Linked DNA regions of Saccharomyces cerevisiae S288C. The gene in region 4 interacts genetically with the main gene of each other region. Each region holds a gene or a part of one and is shown on either strand. Other genes may lie near its edges. The genes, in order: SLA1, COM2, BUD31 and PAN1.

Evidence for each region.
Region 1: mutations in PAN1 (region 4) and SLA1 are lethal when combined (synthetic lethality), as found in Saccharomyces cerevisiae (5 studies listed by BioGRID, with this or other methods).
Region 2: mutations in PAN1 (region 4) and COM2 together harm fitness more than expected from each alone (negative genetic interaction), as found in Saccharomyces cerevisiae (2 studies listed by BioGRID).
Region 3: mutations in PAN1 (region 4) and BUD31 together harm fitness more than expected from each alone (negative genetic interaction), as found in Saccharomyces cerevisiae (2 studies listed by BioGRID).

The regions. Positions count from the first base shown.
Region 1 is NC_001134.8:212,132-219,195, reverse strand, and holds SLA1 (cytoskeletal protein-binding protein SLA1), read left to right. Parts: upstream 1-2,829; coding exon 2,830-6,564; downstream 6,565-7,064. Other genes in the region: drug-responsive transcription factor PDR3, read right to left, coding at 1-1,726; LDB7 (Ldb7p), read left to right, coding at 2,067-2,609; HIR1 (Hir1p), read right to left, coding at 7,021-7,064. UniProt on the Saccharomyces cerevisiae protein: Component of the PAN1 actin cytoskeleton-regulatory complex required for the internalization of endosomes during actin-coupled endocytosis. The complex links the site of endocytosis to the cell membrane-associated actin cytoskeleton.
Region 2 is NC_001137.3:420,255-424,862, forward strand, and holds COM2 (Com2p), read right to left. Parts: upstream 2,193-4,608; coding exon 861-2,192; downstream 1-860. Other genes in the region: serine/threonine protein kinase SAK1, read left to right, coding at 1-455; 40S ribosomal protein eS26 RPS26B, read left to right, coding at 3,698-4,057.
Region 3 is NC_001135.5:226,152-230,049, forward strand, and holds BUD31 (U2 snRNP complex subunit BUD31), read left to right. Parts: upstream 1-2,166; coding exon 2,167-2,640; downstream 2,641-3,898. Other genes in the region: TVS1 (Tvs1p), read left to right, coding at 1-1,307; HCM1 (Hcm1p), read left to right, coding at 3,159-3,898. UniProt on the Saccharomyces cerevisiae protein: Involved in pre-mRNA splicing. Important for bud site selection.
Region 4 is NC_001141.2:364,492-372,459, reverse strand, and holds PAN1 (actin cytoskeleton-regulatory complex protein PAN1), read left to right. Parts: upstream 1-2,551; coding exon 2,552-6,994; downstream 6,995-7,968. Other genes in the region: EGH1 (hydrolase), read right to left, coding at 1-1,756; U2 snRNP complex subunit IST3, read right to left, coding at 7,125-7,571; DJP1 (Djp1p), read right to left, coding at 7,941-7,968.

The DNA.
Region 1 (7,064 bases), on a different chromosome or scaffold from region 4:
GAGTCTCTGAAAAAAAATCTCCAACAATTTGGGCTATCGCTAACTCACCATATTCAATAAGCCTGGACAATGACAAGTTTTTTAGCTTGGGCGATGACGGTGATAAAGAGGACGTACCAATTTTCGTTAAAAATTCTTTATGGTTAATGAATCCCATGTCCCTGAAATCCTTCGGCAAGAGACAATTCATTTGATGTTCATTTATTAAGGATAAATCACCAAGATCAGTTAAAAAACGCTTTTCCAGACTGTATATTTTCCACCATATTTTTCTTCTCCGTTCGGCAGTATTTTCGTCTATTCCAACATAATACTCCCAACGAGACAATCCCATCTTAGTGGAGCATGTAACCGCAACTTCTAGCATTTTTTCAAATCCAAAACGCTCATCAATTTCATTTTGGATTTCTAGCAATGACACTAAAATCTCTAGGTAATCTAAAGTGTTTATGTCCAACATGTGATATAGGGTAACATTGTAGTATGCGTAACAAAGAGTAGATAGAAGATATTCTGATGAGCAGAATGACGAGAATAAAACACTCTTTTCTTGATGGGGCAAGGAGAAAGCTTGGTTTAAAAATTCCGCAAAGCGCTTCCTATGTTGAGCATACATTTGAGTAACTATTCGAAACATCGAAAATGAATCATGTAAATTTTCTATCAATTGAGTAGTCGTAAACCCGGTAATCGATTGTATAAATGGCTGAGGTAGTTGATGAATAACAGAAATGACTAAATCGTTAGATAAAGGTGCTGGGGAAGTAGGCAAACTAGCAGATGCCGTCGTAGTAGGAGTTTGCTTTATTTTTTGAAGATAGTTCTCTAATGGATTAGAAATAGAGATGCAACCTTGGATCAAATGTTCATAACACAAATCAAACAATCTTAATATTAGATAAATAGTTTCCTTTGTATCTATTAACATCGATGAACCCGTGTTTTCGATATTTTTTTTAATTAAATATCCTATACCTCTTAGTGAAAAAGCCTGTATTGGAGAGAAAAGACCAAATACTTCATCTACTAGTGGAGTGGTGGCTAGAAATGAATCTGGACTTTGTGATTTAACCATTTGGTCTGTCCAAAAGGAGAACCTCGTCATGTGTATTTTATTTCTATACTTGTTGGTTAAAAGATACGTTTCTATCGATCTTTGTGGGCGAGGAGAGAAACTGGAAAGCTTGGGGTAGTTTATTTCGGGATTCCAACTGTTAATCAGGTTATTCAACTGCGACTTCGTTTTATCAATCAAGAGCTGAGTGTCATCACAAGGCGGCAGAGCGTACAAATTTGTCAGAATATTTTGATACGTAACCAGTTGATTTTGATATTTGGAATCATCTTTAAAGAGAATATTATTATCATTAGTAGGATTATTGGAAGTATCAGGAGCATGCGTCGCACTCGGAGAGACTGGAGTCTGTATCAGGTCGTTCATCAGTTTGAAGTAATATTGATTATCTAGCTTAATCGCAGTGTCCAGATGCTGTACATCTGCTGAAGCCTCTACATTGGCGTGGGAAGAGGGTGGAGCAACAGCTGTAGTAGGCAAAGACTGGGAACTATCCTCCTTCTGCGGTAAATGTTTTTTTAGGAATACACACGTACAATCGTAAGAAATGCAGTTGGTACATGGATATTTACCTGTGCATTTGATTTTCCTTTTTCTGCAATTGACACATGCTGTCGAAACTTTTGATCTAGTTGATTTCTTCACTTTCATTGCGGTCACGCAATAAGAAAAAATTAATAAAACTGCTGATGCAGTTGTCGCCTAAGACCTATGGTTGCTTTGGAAGGCTCCTGAAGACACAAACACAGGAAATACATAAATACATTAATGAGATTCTATAACAGTATCTACATATTTGCATTCTAAGACTCACTGTGATAGTTCATTTATTATTCCGCGGAAAGTCCGAGCGGCAGAGGAGGCAGCTCCGCGGAAACAAGGGCAGCGCCTGTTGTTCTGGAAGAAAATGAAAAGTGAAATGCAGTTGTCGTGGAAATAATGGCTTTACCTGAAAGCAGCAGAGCACGGTGTTAACAAGGAATAGCTGAGAATGAGTGGAAGTAATATGGGATACTATGACGTACTCGCAGGGCTTTCAGCGCTGGAAAAGTCATCCCAGGTAGTGTTCAGTGCGACTGAGCTTCAACAGCTTACGCAACAATCTCATGCTACCGACAAGGGCATAGAGGGCAGTGAGAATAGTAAAGCGAAGGTATCCAAGCCCAAAAGAGTAGCTGTACATGGTTACCTAGGCGGTAAAGTGTCGCTCGCCGATGCGGCACAGGTGGAGTATGAAGTAGGCCATTCACTGCTGGGCAGTTATGTGCCACGCCAGCAGTTGGAAGCCCTGTCAAGTGTCGACTTTTCGCACCATTTCCACCGCACATTAGAATGCAAAGCTGCTCTAGAGACACACGATGTTTTTCTTGCCGGCGCAGGACAATTGTCTCTACCCTTCCAATCACACATAGAGAGCCCCAGGAATAGCGAGGCTAAAAGGAAAAGAAAAGTGATAATATGCAAACGGTGTCAATCACGATTTATAGGTTCCCATAGGCGGTCTCAACTTAGAGAACATGCCTGCGTAGATTAAACCATGTAATTGATAGAGGTAGAATGTTGCTTCGTAGAAAGTGACTATACGATTCCTAAAAGGGGCTTCCTTCCACTCATGCGAAATCGAGATACATCAGACGAAAACAGAACGAATATTTAGCGCATATATACTATGTATATCTATTGCAATCCTAAAAGAAGGGATAGTGTAACATAGCCAAGGCGACAGAGTGTGTTATATACAAAAGAGCTAGAGTATGACTGTGTTTCTGGGCATCTATAGGGCCGTCTATGCCTATGAGCCGCAGACACCAGAAGAACTGGCCATCCAAGAAGACGATCTGTTGTACCTCTTACAGAAGTCAGACATTGACGATTGGTGGACAGTAAAGAAAAGAGTCATTGGTTCCGATAGCGAAGAACCGGTGGGTCTAGTGCCCTCCACTTACATTGAAGAAGCTCCTGTTTTGAAGAAGGTAAGAGCCATTTATGATTATGAACAGGTGCAAAATGCTGATGAAGAATTGACGTTTCATGAAAATGACGTTTTTGATGTATTCGATGATAAAGATGCTGATTGGCTGTTGGTTAAGTCTACCGTTTCCAATGAATTCGGCTTCATTCCAGGCAATTACGTCGAACCAGAGAATGGGTCCACTTCCAAGCAGGAACAGGCTCCCGCTGCCGCTGAAGCTCCTGCAGCTACTCCTGCAGCCGCTCCTGCTTCTGCTGCCGTACTACCCACCAACTTTTTACCACCTCCTCAACACAATGATAGAGCTCGTATGATGCAAAGTAAAGAAGACCAAGCTCCAGATGAGGATGAAGAGGGCCCTCCTCCTGCCATGCCTGCAAGACCAACGGCTACTACCGAAACTACTGATGCCACCGCTGCGGCTGTTCGATCTCGTACAAGACTATCATACAGCGATAACGATAATGACGATGAAGAGGATGATTACTATTACAACAGCAACAGCAACAACGTTGGAAATCACGAATACAATACAGAGTATCACTCTTGGAACGTTACCGAAATCGAGGGAAGGAAAAAGAAGAAGGCCAAGCTATCAATCGGTAACAACAAGATAAACTTCATACCCCAAAAGGGGACTCCTCATGAGTGGTCAATTGATAAATTGGTCTCTTATGATAACGAAAAGAAACACATGTTCTTGGAATTTGTTGATCCATATAGAAGCCTTGAATTACACACTGGTAATACCACCACATGTGAAGAGATCATGAACATTATTGGTGAATATAAAGGTGCTTCCCGTGATCCTGGGTTGAGAGAAGTCGAAATGGCTTCCAAATCCAAAAAGAGAGGTATTGTTCAATATGACTTCATGGCTGAATCACAGGACGAATTAACCATAAAATCAGGCGATAAAGTCTACATTTTAGATGATAAAAAATCTAAGGACTGGTGGATGTGCCAACTGGTTGATTCAGGGAAAAGCGGTCTCGTTCCTGCACAGTTTATTGAGCCTGTTCGTGACAAAAAACATACTGAATCTACAGCAAGCGGTATCATCAAGTCTATCAAGAAAAACTTCACCAAATCTCCATCTAGGTCGAGATCTAGATCAAGATCTAAATCCAATGCCAATGCCAGTTGGAAAGATGATGAACTACAAAACGATGTTGTAGGTAGTGCTGCCGGTAAAAGGTCAAGAAAAAGTTCATTGTCCTCTCACAAAAAAAACTCTTCGGCGACCAAAGATTTCCCCAATCCAAAAAAATCGCGTCTATGGGTTGATAGAAGTGGTACTTTCAAAGTGGATGCAGAATTCATTGGATGTGCTAAGGGGAAAATCCACTTGCACAAGGCTAATGGTGTCAAGATTGCTGTCGCCGCTGATAAACTATCCAATGAAGATTTAGCGTATGTGGAAAAAATTACTGGGTTCTCCTTAGAGAAATTTAAGGCGAATGATGGGTCTAGTTCCCGTGGCACTGATTCAAGAGACTCTGAAAGAGAAAGAAGAAGGAGATTGAAGGAGCAGGAGGAAAAAGAACGCGATAGGAGATTGAAAGAGCGTGAATTATACGAATTGAAAAAAGCCAGAGAACTCCTAGATGAAGAAAGATCAAGGTTGCAAGAAAAGGAATTGCCTCCAATAAAACCACCAAGACCAACCTCTACTACCTCCGTTCCAAATACGACGTCCGTACCACCAGCCGAAAGCAGCAATAACAACAACTCCAGTAACAAATATGATTGGTTCGAATTTTTCTTGAATTGCGGCGTTGATGTAAGCAATTGTCAAAGATATACAATAAATTTTGATAGAGAACAGCTTACTGAAGACATGATGCCTGACATCAATAACTCAATGTTAAGAACCTTGGGTCTGCGCGAAGGTGATATTGTTAGAGTAATGAAACATCTTGACAAGAAATTTGGAAGAGAAAATATTGCATCAATTCCTACAAATGCCACTGGAAATATGTTTTCACAACCTGATGGTTCATTGAACGTTGCTACAAGTCCGGAAACCTCACTGCCTCAGCAATTGTTGCCACAAACAACAAGTCCTGCTCAAACAGCTCCTTCCACATCAGCTGAGACAGATGATGCTTGGACTGTTAAACCGGCTTCTAAGTCTGAATCTAATTTACTCTCTAAGAAATCAGAATTTACTGGTTCCATGCAGGATTTATTAGACTTGCAACCTTTAGAACCTAAAAAGGCAGCTGCCTCGACACCTGAACCAAACCTAAAAGATTTGGAACCCGTGAAAACTGGCGGCACCACTGTTCCTGCTGCTCCGGTTTCATCTGCTCCGGTTTCATCTGCTCCCGCTCCATTGGATCCATTCAAAACCGGTGGCAACAATATCTTACCCTTATCTACTGGCTTTGTGATGATGCCAATGATTACTGGGGGCGATATGCTGCCTATGCAAAGAACCGGCGGCTTCGTTGTACCACAAACAACTTTTGGTATGCAATCGCAAGTTACTGGTGGTATCCTACCTGTTCAAAAGACAGGAAATGGGTTAATTCCTATCTCTAACACTGGCGGCGCAATGATGCCACAAACTACGTTCGGCGCAGCAGCTACCGTCTTACCTCTGCAAAAAACTGGAGGTGGCCTAATACCAATTGCCACCACAGGAGGTGCGCAATTCCCGCAAACTTCATTCAATGTTCAGGGGCAACAACAACTTCCAACAGGTTCAATATTACCTGTCCAAAAAACTGCTAATGGATTAATTTCAGCTAATACTGGTGTCTCAATGCCAACTGTACAAAGAACAGGCGGCACTATGATTCCACAAACATCATTTGGCGTTTCACAGCAATTAACAGGTGGTGCAATGATGACCCAACCTCAAAATACAGGGAGTGCCATGATGCCTCAAACATCCTTCAATGCTGTACCACAAATTACTGGAGGAGCAATGATGCCTCAAACGTCCTTCAATGCTTTACCACAAGTTACAGGGGGAGCAATGATGCCTTTGCAGAGAACTGGTGGTGCTTTGAATACATTTAATACTGGAGGCGCCATGATTCCCCAGACTTCGTTCAGCTCTCAAGCTCAAAACACTGGCGGGTTCCGGCCGCAATCCCAATTCGGTTTGACTTTACAAAAAACCGGAGGTATTGCGCCATTAAACCAGAACCAGTTCACTGGTGGAGCCATGAATACTTTAAGTACAGGGGGCGTTCTTCAACAACAGCAACCACAAACGATGAATACCTTCAATACTGGTGGTGTTATGCAAGAGCTCCAAATGATGACTACTTTCAATACTGGTGGTGCTATGCAACAACCACAGATGATGAACACATTCAACACCGATGGAATTATGCAACAACCACAGATGATGAACACTTTTAACACTGGGGGTGCTATGCAACAACCACAACAACAAGCATTACAGAACCAACCTACTGGATTTGGGTTTGGTAATGGACCTCAACAATCAAGGCAAGCCAACATATTCAATGCTACTGCATCAAATCCGTTTGGATTCTAGATTAATGTATTTTAAGATTTTATAGGATAATAACTAAAACAAGCTATATGAAATAGTTTCGTACAATCTGTGCTTATACTCGTGAAAATGGCAAATTTCTCTTTTTTTTTTTATAAGTAGTTATGTATGTATTTTACTAATTTTAATATAATCGTTCTCAGTCCCAATAATGTTTTATTGTCATATTATACTAAAGTTGAAATGGTGGAGTCGACCCTAAGAATTTATTTCTTCCAGACAGAGGAGGTGTGTAGTCACTTTGGTTCCACTAATAGACAACCGACATTAAAATACTTCTGATCTGTGCCTTCAGAAAGCTTCATCTGTAACCGCTTGTCTGTATGAGTCGTTTCAAATGGTAACCACTTAAACAATGCGAATACTACAATGATATTTATAAAATATAGACGTAATTATGAGGGAAAAAACTTGTCCAAAGGAAGGGGTATAAGCTTATTATTTATATAACGACCAACAACCCAGATCCTTAGTCCATTTAT
Region 2 (4,608 bases), on a different chromosome or scaffold from region 4:
ATATGGATGACTTGACGCTGCATCAGGCACTGAGCCGCAGCCAACCCATTAGTAAGCCTGGCCCATTAGTATTACCAAAGCGTTTAGACCAAAAGAAAGCTACGACGGAAACCTCAAATTTAACAGATATCGTTGAATTTAACGGTAATAACGATCATCGAAAGGACAAAAATTTCGATAAAGTTCTTTATTCAAGGGACTTGTTAAAAGATGCTCTAAGTTCCACTAATGCAGGCAGAAGGAGATCCATACCTTCAAATAAAATAAGAGGACGAAAGGACGCAAGTATTACCATGAGTACTAATGTTGGTAATGATGAACATGCTAGAAATACCAGCTGCCATGGTGATAAAGGACAAGAAAATGGCGCTATAAAACAAAGGACCCATGAAAGATCGCGATCTTTAACAGTCGCTGAACTAAATGAAGAGAAGAGAAGGAGTGCACTTCCATGAGTGTAAAATTCAAAGTAATTTCCATCGGACTACGATGTTAATCAGATATATGGTAGAAAGCTCTAACTTTTTACCCTTGCCAACATGCACGCATATATGTGTATGTTAAAATAAGTTCTGTATTTGAAATGCATGTGATTTACAATCCTCTTGCAATGAACTTAATATCATTAACAGGCTAAAAATAATATATGATGTAGATCTTTTTAGTTTAGCATAATATAATCTATAAATCTATAATATTTTTATTCTAAATTATTAAAAGGGCGGCGAGAGAAGTGTATCTGTGCTTAGAAAACTTTTCGTTTCTTCGTCTCACCCTGAGAAGTGCCTTTTCGTTTCAAAATCATTACTGGTGAGTGTCATTAAACTTTTTCAATTTGCAATTTCCGTATCTTTAAAATTTCATAAGGAAGCGTGAGTTTTAACGTGCTGATTCAAATTATCGCTTCTGCTGAAGTTCTTATTACAGATATGGCATGTAAATGGTTTTTCGCACATATGTAAAGATCTGACATGCCTCTTCAAATGCTCTTGTCTTTTAAATCTTCTATCGCAAAATTCACAACCAAATTGCTTGGAAGCGTCCGGAATTAAAGAGGGCTTCCTTCCGCGCGTCTTCTGCATGCTTCCTGTCTTCTTCCTCACCACTAAGCCATGAGAAGAAGAGGAAGATTGTACTGAAGGTGATGGTGCAGAAGGAGAAGGAGAAGAGGATGGTTCTGATATGGCAGCCAATAAGTCCTTTCTCGAATCATTGCTGAATTTTGAAACTGGCTCAATCATCTTAAAATCACTGCCAGACTTAAATGGATTCGTTGTCTTAGCAATGCTTTGAGTAGAGATATCCTTGTTATTTCCCACCAGCTTTAACGGATTTATTATCGCGTGGTCACTCTCATCACTTTCTTCATTAGAGGAAACATCAAACCCTGAATTTATAAGCACTTCATTTTCTTGCTCAAGAGGAAGAGACTTGATTAGAGTGCTTTTCCTACTTCTGAAGAATCTATTTTTGAACATTTTCTGCGAGGAAGAGTTTTCGGTCTGAATGGGTTCACAACCAAGGCTATTACTGTTATTATTACTACTGCTACTACTGCCGAATATGTTTAATTTGAAATAGTCCCTAACTTTTTTTTTAGATTGGGGCACAGTGGTAAAAGAGTCTTCAAGCTCATCGTCAATGTTTTCCGTTGGATCTATTATAAATTCATGTATCTCCAGATTTTTCAAGTTATTAGTACTGGAAATCCTGTTCAGCCCGTCAAGAGGCTGTTGCTTGAGAAAGGAAAATCTTTCATTTACCTCCAACTCGTCGTCGCTAACCATCAATACATCACTTTCATTATTTAGATCGATGTCATCATCATTTTCTACGATGTCGTTATTAAATAATGGTTCGTTAAGTTCCCTCCTACCAAAAAACTCGTATTCGTAGTAGTTACCGTTTTCGGTACGATAGTCGGATATCGAAAGCCTTCTCTCCAACTGATTTGATGAAGTAGCTGTAGTTACACAATTGTCGACAATAGTATTGCCTGTTAGATCGTTGATAATTTCTACATTATTATTGTCAATTTCCTTGGCATTGGCGTTGGCATTTGGTATGAGTTGAAGGGTAAAATGTTGCTTGTCGTTATTGCGGCTTTCGTTAAACAGCTCAGTCTTAGAATTCAAAGTGTAACTGAAAACCGTGTCATTTGATTCAAATCTTTGTAAAGGGTATAAAGACATGCTTGTCTGTCTATGTTATCGTAAAGCTTTATTTGTCCCTGGATAGTTTATGAAGTCTAGCAGGCCTACTGTACAAATTCAAAACAGAAAATCATCATCTTGCTCGAAGCCAGCCCATGCTACCTATGGCTCTCAGTCGCCCATTCAGCTATCTATATATATCTTGGATGGCCACGCTAGGAACCGCGCCGGGCAACAACTTGGGCAAAAGCCCTCGGAACAGTAAAAGCCACCTTTCCGTGGGTTATCCGCTGAAATTTTTTGCTCCATTTCCGAAGCGTCGCACTCGTAACCGTAAATGTAAAAAAACAGCACCCAATTGGGCCATGTGTGATTAACGCCGGGCGGCTATGCACGTTTGAACAAGTATATCCGCATGGAGCAACAACTGCTATAAGAAATTCCGTCAGAGAAATGGCTTGACTTGCTGCAAGCACAGAGGTGTTTATGGATAATATGTATACAATAACCTCATAGGTGTTTGGCAGTGTGAATTCACTGTTCCCTGCGTTCCCGGAATGGAGAAAGGGGTATGACAGGCGCCAAAAAAAAAAAACACTGAAAAACAAGAGAAAAGAGTAAAGGAGATGGCTTGAATATAATATTTATTCCTTGCTAAGTTTAATAGCGTATTTTCTTATATTAATTCCGTGGACGATCAGATGCGGGAATACAATGTTGGCAGTTATCTGTTTCATCGCTCCCTCCTTGCGTAAATATCGAACCTTCTATCATTCGATAATCAAGAATTAAAACTGACAGCCGCGCCTTTTCGGCATCTTCTGGGGTTGATCAAAATTATAATAAGAGGACTGCTGCATATTTACCTCCGTACACCTTCTACACCCAACCTTATTATGGGGCCTACTAAATTTTCTTTTGAGAAGAATTGCGTTCTTTTCATCGTGTTGTGTTTTTTTGAGATCTTTCGCGCGATGGCATCTCACATTCGCAGTTTGCATGAAATTTCAGATAGTATTGACAGCATTCGATCGTGCACCGGGAAATAACGCTAGGCGTCTATCGTAACATAACAGAGTGTTTTATTATCTATATAGTGATATTTACCTTAAATTCTTGCTCTTAAGCGTGTCTCAATTTACTTTCAAAAAGAAAGATAAATACACATAATCAAACAGGAAAAGTATGTTATAAGAGCGAATAATGTGATAAAGGAGCAAAGTGGAAGGAAAGAATTATAAAGAATGACGTTGCCGTAAAGCCAATTTTTCAACCAACAAAATTGCAATAGTTTCAAGCAAATTATGGTGTGTCCGGGATTGGCGGTAGTAAATTGTAAAACAATAGCTGGTCAATAGTTGATATTCATACCGACACTATAATCCACAAAAGATGGGTGACATTGATGGCTGAAATGGTAGAGGCAAGAAAATTTTTTAAAGCAATAAGGCATAGACGTTTCTATTAATCCTTTGTTTTATTCAGTATTTTCGATATTTCCTCTTTACTAACTTCAATTTACTGAATTTGTATGTAATTTTTAGATGCCAAAAAAGAGAGCTTCCAACGGTAGAAACAAGAAGGGTAGAGGTCACGTCAAGCCAGTGAGATGTGTTAACTGTTCCAAGTCCATTCCAAAGGATAAGGCTATCAAGAGAATGGCTATTAGAAACATTGTTGAAGCTGCTGCCGTCAGAGATTTGTCCGAAGCTTCTGTCTACCCAGAATACGCCTTGCCAAAGACTTACAACAAGTTGCACTACTGTGTCTCCTGTGCTATTCACGCCAGAATTGTTAGAGTTAGATCCAGAGAAGACAGAAAGAACAGAGCTCCTCCACAAAGACCAAGATTTAACAGGGATAACAAAGTTTCTCCAGCAGCTGCCGCAAAGAAAGCTTTGTAAATATGATGAGAGAATAATATAAATCAAACGCTCGCTGATTAAGGTGTCATTTATTTTTTTTAATAGAGGCTTTGTCTTTTATAATTGTGTATTTTAATAATATGATTATAGTATATTTTCAAGAATAGAATTTTTGCGCATGTAACTTCGTTCATACTCAATTCACAGTAGGCAGCTGTATTTGTATCCGTACTACTGGCGTACGTGCGATGAATTAATCGTATCCTACGGCACCTTGTAAGCAGTCGAGAAATTTTTTTTTCACTTTTTCCTTTTCATACCTATATAAATAGAAGTGTTCTTGTCGATTTGAAGAAGGTTTATTTCGTTTCGCTGTAGTTTTTTTGTCATTGATCTTTTCATTTTTTTATTTCAAAATCCCCATCAACTATTACAGTCGATGAGGATAGGTTATAGTTCATGTGTAACATCTGTGTTTTAAAATAACTCTAGTTATCCGGGGCGTTTTTCACAAAGTTTGTGTAAGATGCTTTCCTGGGTCGATGTGGATTGTGCCGTGGCCTTTTTCACCACCTTTATAGCGGTGCTTT
Region 3 (3,898 bases), on a different chromosome or scaffold from region 4:
AGGAGTACCGTCCGGTTGACACCATCCCTCTGAATGATCTTGAATCTACGCCCGTCATGGTGAATAGTGCACGTGGCTCTCCAAGTCCTTCTTCCAACAGAGACACGTTGTTCTCGCTCTCTTCAGACACCACGACCGCCACGGCCACCAATAATAATAAACGGAGACGCGCTGAAGGCGAAGACGAGGGTGATAACACCTCCAACCACGACACTTTGCGCGACGAAGACTACGATAATGATGACGACGAAATTGCTTCCATTGAAGCGCCACCTCTGCTTCCTCAAGACATACCCGTTTTCCGAATCTTGTTTACCAACACGAAGTACCAGATGCTTGCCGCGCACCTCTCGTGCGTCGCCAACGTGGTCTTTCACATGCTTACCTACCCGCTATTCATGTACATCTTTGTAGACCTAATCATCGGCTTCGCTGTAGGTAACTTGCTCGGCAAGGGCATCCGCATCTTTAATCTCTTGGCCCACTGGATTAAGGGCGGCGTATTTTTTACTCTGGGCGTTGTCTCTTTAGCAAGATACTGCGGTTTCGCAGCTAAGTACGGCTGGGCATGGAACAACATCAGCTTCACCTCTCAACTCACACAAACGCGTTCCTCCAATCTTCTTTTCCGGTTTGCTCCTGCGGGGACTTTCACCATGGAATTCGTTGAATCCTTCCTCATTTTCTTTTACGGGTCCACCAACATCTTCTTGGAGCACCTGGCAGGAAACGGCGGCGCATGGACTGCCAAGGATTTACAGCATGTGTCGATCGCGTTTATGTTCATAGGAACCGGATTGTGTGGGCTACTCACGGAGTACAAGCTCAACCATTGGCGATTCGAGCATGCCCGCAAACGGCCACAGACCGATGTAGTTGCTGCCACACCGGGGTACTCTCCAAACCCGTTCCCCGCTTTCACCATATTTTGGACTGGGATTCTGATGTCCCAGCACGCACAGTCCTCGCAATTTTCTACTACCATTCACACGCAATGGGGATACTTGTTGTCCTATGGGTCCTTCTTCCGTCTGCTAACATTTTTGATTCTGTTTTTGGTGCCCAACACCAACAGTGCCGCATCCAAGCCTTTCACGGAGTTGATCACCTCGTTCTGTCTCCTCTGTGGTGGTCTGGTATTTATGGAGTCCACGGATCAGTCCATTGAAGCCATGGAATATAGGGGGTTTACCCCCATGTTCACTTTCAACCTCAGTGTTGGATTCGTTTCTTTGTTGATGGCTTGGGAAATGATTTTATTTATTTGGAAAGACTGGCTCATCAAAACCAGGAAAACCAGTCTTTAACCGCCATAATGGCTTTTCTTTTTTCTTTTTTTTTTCACCCCCCCCTCATCTTTGAGTGAGAAGCTTATATGCTTTACTTTTCCTCACCTACTTTTTAATTCTTAATTATTAGTTTATCCAGCATTCAGTCAATTCTGAATGCGTTATCGCTTCCTCAAAATTTATAAAAATGAATAAGCAAGATCTCATTGGAATTGAGTTCAATGACGATTATTGAGGGCCCATACCTGATAAAAGTGAATATATTATGTATAATGACTCTACTGGAGGTTCTCTCTGAGAATGTAAAATAATCCACAAAAGACATGAAAATTAGTTACTCTACATAATGTATAATAAGTTCTTCCTTCCTTTTTTCTTTTTTTAGTTTTTCTACTCACCATCCTACCTACGCCAAGCTGCTCTACTGTCTTGGATCTGTGAAAAAACGCCTAGAAACATGTATAAAACCTACCGCTTTAAACCATAATTTCAAATCGAAATGGCACTATGGCCGAGTGGTTAAGGCGAGAGACTCGAATGGAATAAAAAGTTCGGCTATCTCTTGGGCTCTGCCCGCGCTGGTTCAAATCCTGCTGGTGTCGTTTAATTTTTTTTAAATAACATCGTTGATTAAAACAATCCTATTCACTGCAGTCACAGACTTAGCACATTTACAACCAGTACAAGATCAATCACACGCGTTGTGGTAGGAACTTTGACGATGATACTGCGTTGGCTCTTGAACGCATAGTACATTTGTCGTTCACAACGGAAAGTGAAATACTGAAAAAAAAAGAAAAATTTTCTTAGGGACTCATCATCAATGTAAACACCTCTACAGCCGTCAAGACTAGCAAAGCTCACCTCACAAAACGACATGCCGCGCATAAAGACCAGAAGATCCAAGCCTGCACCTGACGGGTTCGAAAAAATCAAGCCAACCCTCACAGATTTCGAAATCCAACTCAGAGATGCCCAAAAGGACAAGTCGTCTAAGCTCGCAGCAAAGTCCAATGAGCAGCTCTGGGAGATAATGCAACTCCACCACCAGCGCTCTAGATACATATATACTCTGTACTACAAGAGAAAGGCCATCTCCAAAGACCTTTACGATTGGTTGATAAAGGAAAAGTATGCTGATAAATTGCTAATTGCCAAATGGCGCAAAACCGGGTATGAAAAACTGTGCTGTCTGCGCTGCATTCAAAAGAACGAAACTAACAACGGTAGCACTTGCATCTGCAGGGTGCCTCGTGCACAGTTAGAGGAAGAAGCACGCAAAAAGGGCACACAGGTGTCCTTCCATCAGTGCGTCCACTGCGGCTGCCGTGGATGTGCAAGCACAGACTAACGACTATATGCACGTTGCAGTATTGTTCTGGCCATGTAATTATCTCTCTCCCAACGTTTTAGAAGAGGTTTTCGTCTCCTTCGTCAAAGACGACCACTTTCCCATTTTGGTCATTGGAACGCGAAAAAACAAAACAGACGCGAGAACGCGACGCGAAAAAATATATTTTTCCGTTTTTTTTTTTTTTCGGAACAAAGATAACGCGTTAAAACCTGTGGATGTAATAAGGATCTGAAACACTGACTAAAACGCGTCCTCATTTAAAATCAAAAAATTACTTCTTCTCCTCCCTTACGGTGCCCTTTGATCCTTCTCAAACTTTAAATATATGTTGCATGATTAATTGAAAATCATATAGAGTATATCTTAACAGAGGTTCCAACGCTTTAAATCGTATTCTATTCTTTTCCCCCCTTTTATTATAGTTACATCTACTATTTGAGCTTCTTTTATTGACCGAAACTACCTCTTATTTCGAAGCAAAAAAAAAAAAAATCAACAAAAATTCCAACTTTTCAATGATGAATGAAGACATATCCATCATTGATGGCCATAATAGTTTTTTAACGGAAAAAAGCACCGTGCTATTAACCCAAGCCAAGAGAACACTAGAAGACGAAAAGGAAATGATTACTCCCCCGAGCTCAACTGTGAGAAAAACAATGAAGGAAGTAAATAAGAGGCCGTCGCATCCCCTCTCACCGGATCACTCGTCCCCAATTGCTCCATCTAAGGCCAAGCGCCAAAGATCGGACACATGCGCTCGGTCCAATGGTAACCTAACCTTGGAAGAAATTCTTCAATCTTTGGAAAGAAGAAGAATAAATGGTGAACTCGCCAAGAAACCTCCATATTCGTATGCAACTTTGATTTGCTTGGCCATTTTGCAATCTCAGGAGGGAAAGCTAACGCTATCCCAGATATATCATTGGATCCACGTTCACTTCCCTTATTACAAGCAGAAAGATGCTAGTTGGCAAAATTCAATAAGACATAACTTGTCTTTAAATGATGCGTTCATCAAGACTGAAAAGTCCTGCGATGGTAAGGGTCATTTCTGGGAGGTCAGACCGGGTGCCGAAACAAAATTTTTCAAAGGTGAAAATCGTGGTTATGAATTTGTAAAGGACTCCTTACAAGACATTGGGAAGTATTTTGAAATAGATTCTACACTTGATGAATTAGAACAAGTTGAGAGTGGAGAAGGCAATGATGATCTTCCTGACGAGGAAGAAAGAGAGGAAGCAGGGAAATTCCC
Region 4 (7,968 bases):
GTGGTTTGTCATCCGGGGACCAAATCGAAAAATCTTCATTGTTCCAATTGTCACCCCATATATGTGAATTAATACTGCAATAACACCATAAGGTGTACGAAAGATTACTTCCTTCTAATGCAAATCCAAGAGCATCCAATGCAGCGGTCTGTGAAGAATAGTCATTTGTAATATATGCTTTCTTGTCGTCCATGTCAAATGGAATACCAATTTCGGTGAAGAATACAGGTACTTTTTTTCCAAGCATGGATTTAGCGTCCTTTTGCATTTCTGATAATTGCTTCCTAATGCATTTCCGTATATTGTTTTCGCCAAGCACTACAGCAAAGGCAGGATTTGAGTATTTTTTGTTTACTAGTCCATAGGTGTCTATGCCAATTCGTTTATTCCATGTCTTATACATTAGTGTCATACCATCATAAAAATGACATGCACAAATCGTCCTATTGTCCAATATTTTAGAATTTTGTAAATTGGGTGGTGGCTTCATTACCGGCGGTTGGATTATAATAAACAATTCTTGATCGAATTCCCTAAACTTGTTATAAATTCCAGTGTAATAGTCAACAAAATGATTGTTTATAAATACCGTTGCATCAGGTTGGCTAAAGTAATTTGGTTTGAGTAAAACAGGGCGTTTACCATTCTGAATCTCCCAAACACCATGGAGTTTCCAAATGCAAGTGTCTGGTTTCCATTCAGGGTTCCTTTCCCAATTATACTTCGCATCTATCGCATCTCTTTCCTCTGCACTCAGCCAAGCTTTTTTGCCTTTGGGATTGATTGTGCACGGTTTTCCCTTAGAAAATCCAAAAAATGTCCTTTTATATTGATCTATTGTGCACTCAATACCTTCACCCAGCATAAAGCTTTGAAATGCCGTTGGCGTTTTGCCCAATTTCAAATTTCTCTCTTTCGGAATCACATCGAGATTTGTTTCACCAATGTAACCACAGTTTGGCTCGTTCATAGACTCTAATCCAATAATGCAGTTGCTCTCAAACAACTCAGGAGCCTTTTCTTTAATTCTTGCGCACAGTGTCATGATTGCATCATTAAACCTTCCTTGCAAGTAATCCTGTATGTTTTCTCCATTAATTGTGCACTTAGGAGCATATTGTTTCCCACCAAAGAATAACGTAAACATTGTTTGACACGCCAGTTTGAAGTAGTTTGTAGGCCAAACCATCTTAGGGTAGGACTCTTCATCTTTGCCAACTTCCCTGCCCGTTTTGGGGTCAATATAATAATTATGTAAGATTGCAGCATCGGTGGCCAGGAAGTTTGCAGGTTGAAACCCTGCACAGTATAAGGTCCATAGCGGTGCTCCAGATCCACCGCTAAACCTAGACCAGACGTCTTGGTGAGGGTCCAAATAAATGTACATACCTTGTTGTACGCTGTTAATCCTGGTTAGTACCTCGACGATATAATCCATATAGTCAAAATCGTACTGTCCTGGACCAGCATGTTCAAGAGATTCCCAGGTGAAGGGTAAACGAATGGTATTGTAACCCAGTGATTTCAATCTGATGATATGCTGTTCGATATCATCAAGAACTAAGGGGTGATTGATGAAACTGACTTTATCAGCATCCTCGAAAAACGTGTCATTTTCTATGGGAGCGTGGGTGGATAGGAATGGCTTTGCAGGGATTTTAACTGACGGATCCAAATTGACACCACGCAATTGGATCTCGTTGCCATCTTTATCGCAAAACTGACCGTCTGCAGAAATGTGTATTTTGGCAGGCATATGATCTGTTCTTATTAAATTCAAACAATTTAGGTACGAAAGAAAAAGAAATAAATAAATAAAAAAAGAGAAGAAAGGTTAAGAAAATAACTGTCAGTAGAATTATTGCGAAATATAGAATTAATATTAATTCCATTGTTAAGGTTTACCAGAGATATAGAAACCTTAAACGAAGGCAATATTCGAGCGGATATGAAAAAAATAAAATAAACATACTCCGATACGGGGAGTCGAACCCCGGTCTCCACGGTGAAAGCGTGATGTGATAGCCGTTACACTATATCGGATTATAATCTATATTTTTTCTACTTCGATCTTATGTACTACTAATTTGATAATTTTGGGTTTAATATGGTTTTTTACTGAAGTACCTGCTTACCAACAGTAGAGATATTTAACGAATGCTTTCCTAAGACGCTTTTTATGCTTCAATTGGGCAGATATTAAAAATTCATCAATTAACAATGTTTATTTGACAATCTGGTTCGTCAAAAAAAAAAAAAAAAAATCACGTCCAGATCTGTTAAACCTTAAAGGTAGGTGCTCACGATAACCGATTGATCTCTCAGTCGCATAGTAGCTATGTATACTCTGTTTATCAATCGCTTGTTATTATAAATTGGCTTGATCACATGACACGTCGACGATATTTTTTTCTTGTTAGGGGCAAAAGTTGGTATTGGAAGAAAAAAAGCATTAGAAAGCCATATAGATCTATTGGCGAAACACACGTCGAGAAGCAGGAAGAGGAAGAATCTATCAGCGACGCGAAATTGCTAATCTGTACAACTGAATATGTATAACCCGTACCAGCAACAGGGCATGGGTTACCAGCAGCAACAGCAGCAACAGCAGCAACAACCAAATGGATTCTACCCGCAGCAGCAGCAAGGTCAGTCTTCAAACCAGCCCCAAGGCCAGCCTCAACCACAACAGCAAATGGCGTTTAACCAGCCTCAGGCTACCGGAATTGGTGGGATGCCTCAAAGTTTTGGTAATTCTTTCTCAAGTATGCCACAGCAGCCCCAAACGGGTTACAATAATAATGGAAATAATGGTAGTGTATATGGTAATGGTAATTTTGGCCAACAACCCCAGCAGCAACAACAGCAGGCGAAACCGCAGCATACGGGATACGTACCAAATTCCAGTATGCCTATGATGAATACTACTGGCACCATGCCTCCACCTAATCCGGCTCAACAGCCTCAGCTACAATCCATACAACCCCAAGGAACAGGCTATTACCAAGCTGCTAATACTGCAAATGTACACTCAGTACAACCTTTGCAATCTCAAGGGACAGGATATTATGTGTCTACACCCAATTTGATCTCTTCTAATCAAACCCAGCAGCCCCTTCAGGCCCAGGGCACTGGTTATTATCAATCTCAACCTCAACAGGTGCCACCTCCTCAGCAAGCACAGTCCTTGCAACCTTTGAAGCCGCAGCAAACAGGATTTTACCTTCAACCGCAAAACCAAGCTCCCTTAGAACCATTAAAGCCCACCGCAACTGGCTTTGTCAACTCATTTGCCAACAACGGTCTAAACAATGATATCAAAATCCCTGCCATTAGATTGTCGTTTATTACTGCCCAAGATCAGGCAAAATTTGAGACTCTATTCAGATCAATTGTTACCAATGGTTCGAATACTGTTTCCGGTGCTAATTGTAGGAAAATTTTGATGAGATCCGGTTTGCCACCTTCTCAACTCGCAAGAATTTGGACGCTTTGTGATACATCAAAAGCAGGTGAGTTACTGTTTCCTGAATTTGCATTAGCAATGCATTTGATCAATGATGTCTTACAAGGTGACACTATCCCTTACGAATTGGATTCTAAGACAAAAAACGAAGTTTCAAGTTTTATTGACGCCATTAATTTAAGCATTGCAAACCAGGATTCTTCCGCAAACGATGCCCCAAAAACTCCCTTTGATGAATTCATTACAGCGGGCGTACAAAATTTGCAACCTCAACCAACAGGATATATGCCTCAAACTAGTTTTGGTATCCCATTACAGTCTCAAATTACTGGAGGCGGTGTTGCCTCGGCGTTGAATCCTCAATCCACAGGATTTATGGCACCAACCACTTTCAACATGTCAATGAATACCGGAACTCCCGGATTGAACCCCCAAATTACTGGAGGAGCACCTGCCTCTATGCAACCCAACATTACTGGCAATGCTTTGCAACCTCAGACAACTGGTATGATGCCACAGACAACTGGTATGATGCCACAGACAACTGGTATGATGCCACAGACTTCATTTGGCGTTAATTTAGGACCTCAGTTGACCGGCGGTGCTTTGCAATCTCAGTATACCGGAGGATATGGTTCCGTTATGCCCCAGCAAAGCGGTCCTGCAAGTATGCCCAATTTGTCCTTTAATCAACAAGGATTACAATCTCAGTTAACCGGGTTGCAACCCCAACCAACGGGTTTTCTACCACCATCTAACTTTAGTGCTACCATGCCGTTGACTGCCCAAAAGACAGGATTTGGTAATAACGAAATTTATACCAAATCCAACTTTAATAATAACTTAATTGATAACTCAAGTCAAGACAAAATTTCCACGGAGGAAAAATCTTTGTTTTATAAAATTTTTGAAACTTTTGATACTCAAAACAAAGGTTTGTTAGATTCCCCCACTGCTGTGGAGATTTTTAGAAAATCTGGCTTAAATCGTGCAGATTTGGAGCAAATTTGGAACCTTTGTGATATAAACAACACCGGCCAATTGAATAAACAAGAATTTGCACTAGGTATGCACTTGGTTTACGGTAAATTAAACGGGAAGCCAATCCCCAATGTCCTACCTTCAAGTTTAATTCCCTCCAGCACAAAACTTTTAGACAACTTAAAGAACCAATTAAAGACAGAGCCAACGACCACAAAAGAAAAACCTTCGTTTGGTAAAATCGATGCCTTGAGCTACAAAAATAATGATGATGATGTTTTGCCGAACTATAGAAATCGTAGGAAGGTTTACTCTGCGAAAAATGAAGAGCAATCTTCTTTTTCTTCACCATCTGCTAAATCTGTTAATCATTCTAGCAGCACCCTTCAAACCGATGACATTTCGGTAGATAAGACTGTTGAAAAGAAGACAGCGAAACCAAAATATGCTGGGTTTTCAAGAGAAATAAATCTGAAAAATATTGCTTCACTGGAAAATGAGATCAAAAATATCAGCAATCCTGAAAACTGTTATGACAGTTCTATTCCATCAGATTTGACAAGCCGCTTTGATGCCATCATCGCCAAACTTCCAAACCTATTCAATGAAATTTCTACAATTGATAATGAGATTACCAATGCAAAAATTCAGTTGTATAGAAAAAAAAATCCTTCTTCGATAATTGGATCTGGTCCAAATGGTGAAATAACTGAAAATGATAGGAAGAAAGCTAAGAGTAGGGCTTTGTTGAGAGCAAGGATGTCTGCTCTAACAGGAAAATCAACGGAATCGGAGGATTCACTTTCCATGGAAGATGAACAGCAAAGTGCTGAAATCAAGAGAATCCAGCAGGAAAATGGTAAGAACCAAGAAATCATTAAAGACATAAGGTCATCTATATCAGATATTTCTGCATCCTTGAAGTCTACTATGACAGGATCGAATATGATATCCAATCAAGAATTTGAAAGATGGGAATTTGGCATAGGGTTAGAAGATGGTGTTCGTGAATTTTTGGATGATCTGAAGTCAAATTCAAATAAATCAGTGACTGAGTCATCTCCCTTTGTGCCTTCCTCAACACCAACCCCTGTAGATGACCGTTCCTCGTCGCCTTCTTATTCTCAGTTCAAAACTGCTGAAGAAAGAGCAGCTTATCTGAAAGAACAGGCAAAAAAGAGAATGAAGGAAAAATTAGCTAAATTTGATAAGAATAGGCGAAATGTTACTCAAAGTTCCAGATCGATTAGCAGTGAAAACTCTCGAGAACAGCCACAACAGATTGCTGGTTCTTCCAATTTAGTTGAACCTAGAGCAACTCCATTCCAAGAAGAAAAATATGTGGAAGTCGCTCAACCAACTCAACCTGTTCAATCAACACAACCTGTTCAACCAACTCAACCTGTTCAGCCAACTCAACCTGTTCAGCCAACTCAACCTGTTCAGCCAACTCAACCTGTTCAACCAACTCAACCTGTTCAGAATGTATATAATGCAAAGCAAGAATCCGATGATGAAGATGAAGATGATGAAGAAAAGCGTTTACAAGAGGAGCTAAAACGATTGAAACTTAAAAAAAAGGCTGATAAAGAAAAAAGACTTGCAGCTTTACGTAAGCAAATTGAGGATGCTCAAAATGAAAGTGACGAAGAGGAGACAAACGGAAAAGACAACTTTGGCGGCCATGTGAACGTTCCTCAGGCCGCTCCAGTGGCACCATCTGCAGCTTTTTCGCAAAATTCTACTAATGCTCCTCGCTCGGTACACGCTGCTGTTACCCCTGCCGCAGGTAAGAACAGTACTGGTCTGCCTTCCACGACAATGGGCCATAATCCATACTTCAAGGATGCATCAGCTAGCTCTACATCTACTTTCGATGCTCGCGCTGCAGAAATGCAAAGAAGAATCCAAAGAGGATTGGATGAGGACGAGGATGATGGATGGTCTGATGAAGACGAGAGTAATAACCGCGTAGCTGTAGATAATAAGGTTGAAGAAGCAAAGATTGGTCATCCTGATCATGCACGTGCTCCACCTGTTACTGCTGCTCCCTTGCCGTCTGTTACCCCTGTTCCACCTGCTGTCCCTGTCCCTCAGGCGAATACCTCTAATGAAAAGAGTAGTCCTATTCCAATAGCTCCGATACCACCTTCTGTTACTCAGGAGCCACCCGTCCCGTTGGCTCCCCCTTTGCCTGCTGTTGATGGCTTTCAAGAACCTCCAATTCCCTCAGCACCTGCAATAGCTACTGCCGTGCAAAAATCGGGTTCTTCCACCCCAGCTTTAGCTGGAGGCGTTTTGCCTCCACCCCCACCTTTACCAACTCAACAAGCTTCCACTTCAGAACCTATTATCGCTCACGTTGATAACTACAATGGTGCTGAAAAAGGCACGGGCGCATATGGATCCGATTCTGATGATGACGTTTTATCGATTCCTGAATCAGTTGGTACAGATGAAGAGGAAGAAGGGGCACAACCAGTTTCTACTGCAGGTATCCCATCAATTCCACCTGCAGGTATTCCTCCACCCCCACCCCTTCCATGAAGATTTAATTTGCTTTCTATAGATACGTATGTATACTAATTTCTGAAAGGATGTAGAATTACAAATATGATATTGATTATTTTTTTCTAGGCTATATGAATATAAGATATGCGATGAAAGAAAAAATTATTTAATTTGGTTGGTCCTTTTTAGCCAAAATGAGTTTCTCAGCATTGTTCTTCGAAACTATATCTCGATCCAATTCTTCCTTTACAGCTTCATAGTATTTTTGTAAACTCCTTTTTGGCCTATAAAAAGTATGATCAATTTTGAGGGCTCTACCGCCAATTTTAAATCCATTTAAATTATCGACTGCTAGAATCGTTGACCGTTGATCCTCATATTTCAAATATGCAAAACCTTGCGATTCTCCTGTGTTTTCATCCCTGCTAAGAATTACATCTACAGGGACTCCATATTCAGAAAAGACTGTCAATATGTCACCTTCTGTTAATTCTCGGTTGAGATTTCCGATATATATATAAGCATTATCCTTATATTCATTATGCCATGATTGATGCGGGCTAAGAATTCCACTTTGTAGTTCTTTATCGTTGATTTGCTGAATTTTGTTCATTGTTATTTTGTTTATATTATCTATGTTCTTGATCTAGAATTGCACGCTGCACTTTTTGAGTTGTATGAGTAATTAATGTTCGGCCTATTTTTTTTTATCTGTATTAATCTCAAAAAATTCCTAAACCCAGAAAGGTAAAAGAGCTTATCATTTAAGTGTGGCATAATTCTCCAGCCATAACCACTTCCTTATCACATAAATTATCATTGTCACTGAGTTCAATCACTTCTTTATTGTTCTATTGTCTTTCTTTCAAGAATAGAATTATCAGTATTAGTGTGATCTTATATACATTATATTATATTGAATACAGATAATAAAAAAAAGTGAATTTTTGAATTTTTAATATACAAGAGATGATTGCTAACTTCATGTATGTCTCTTCTTTTTTGTAGCT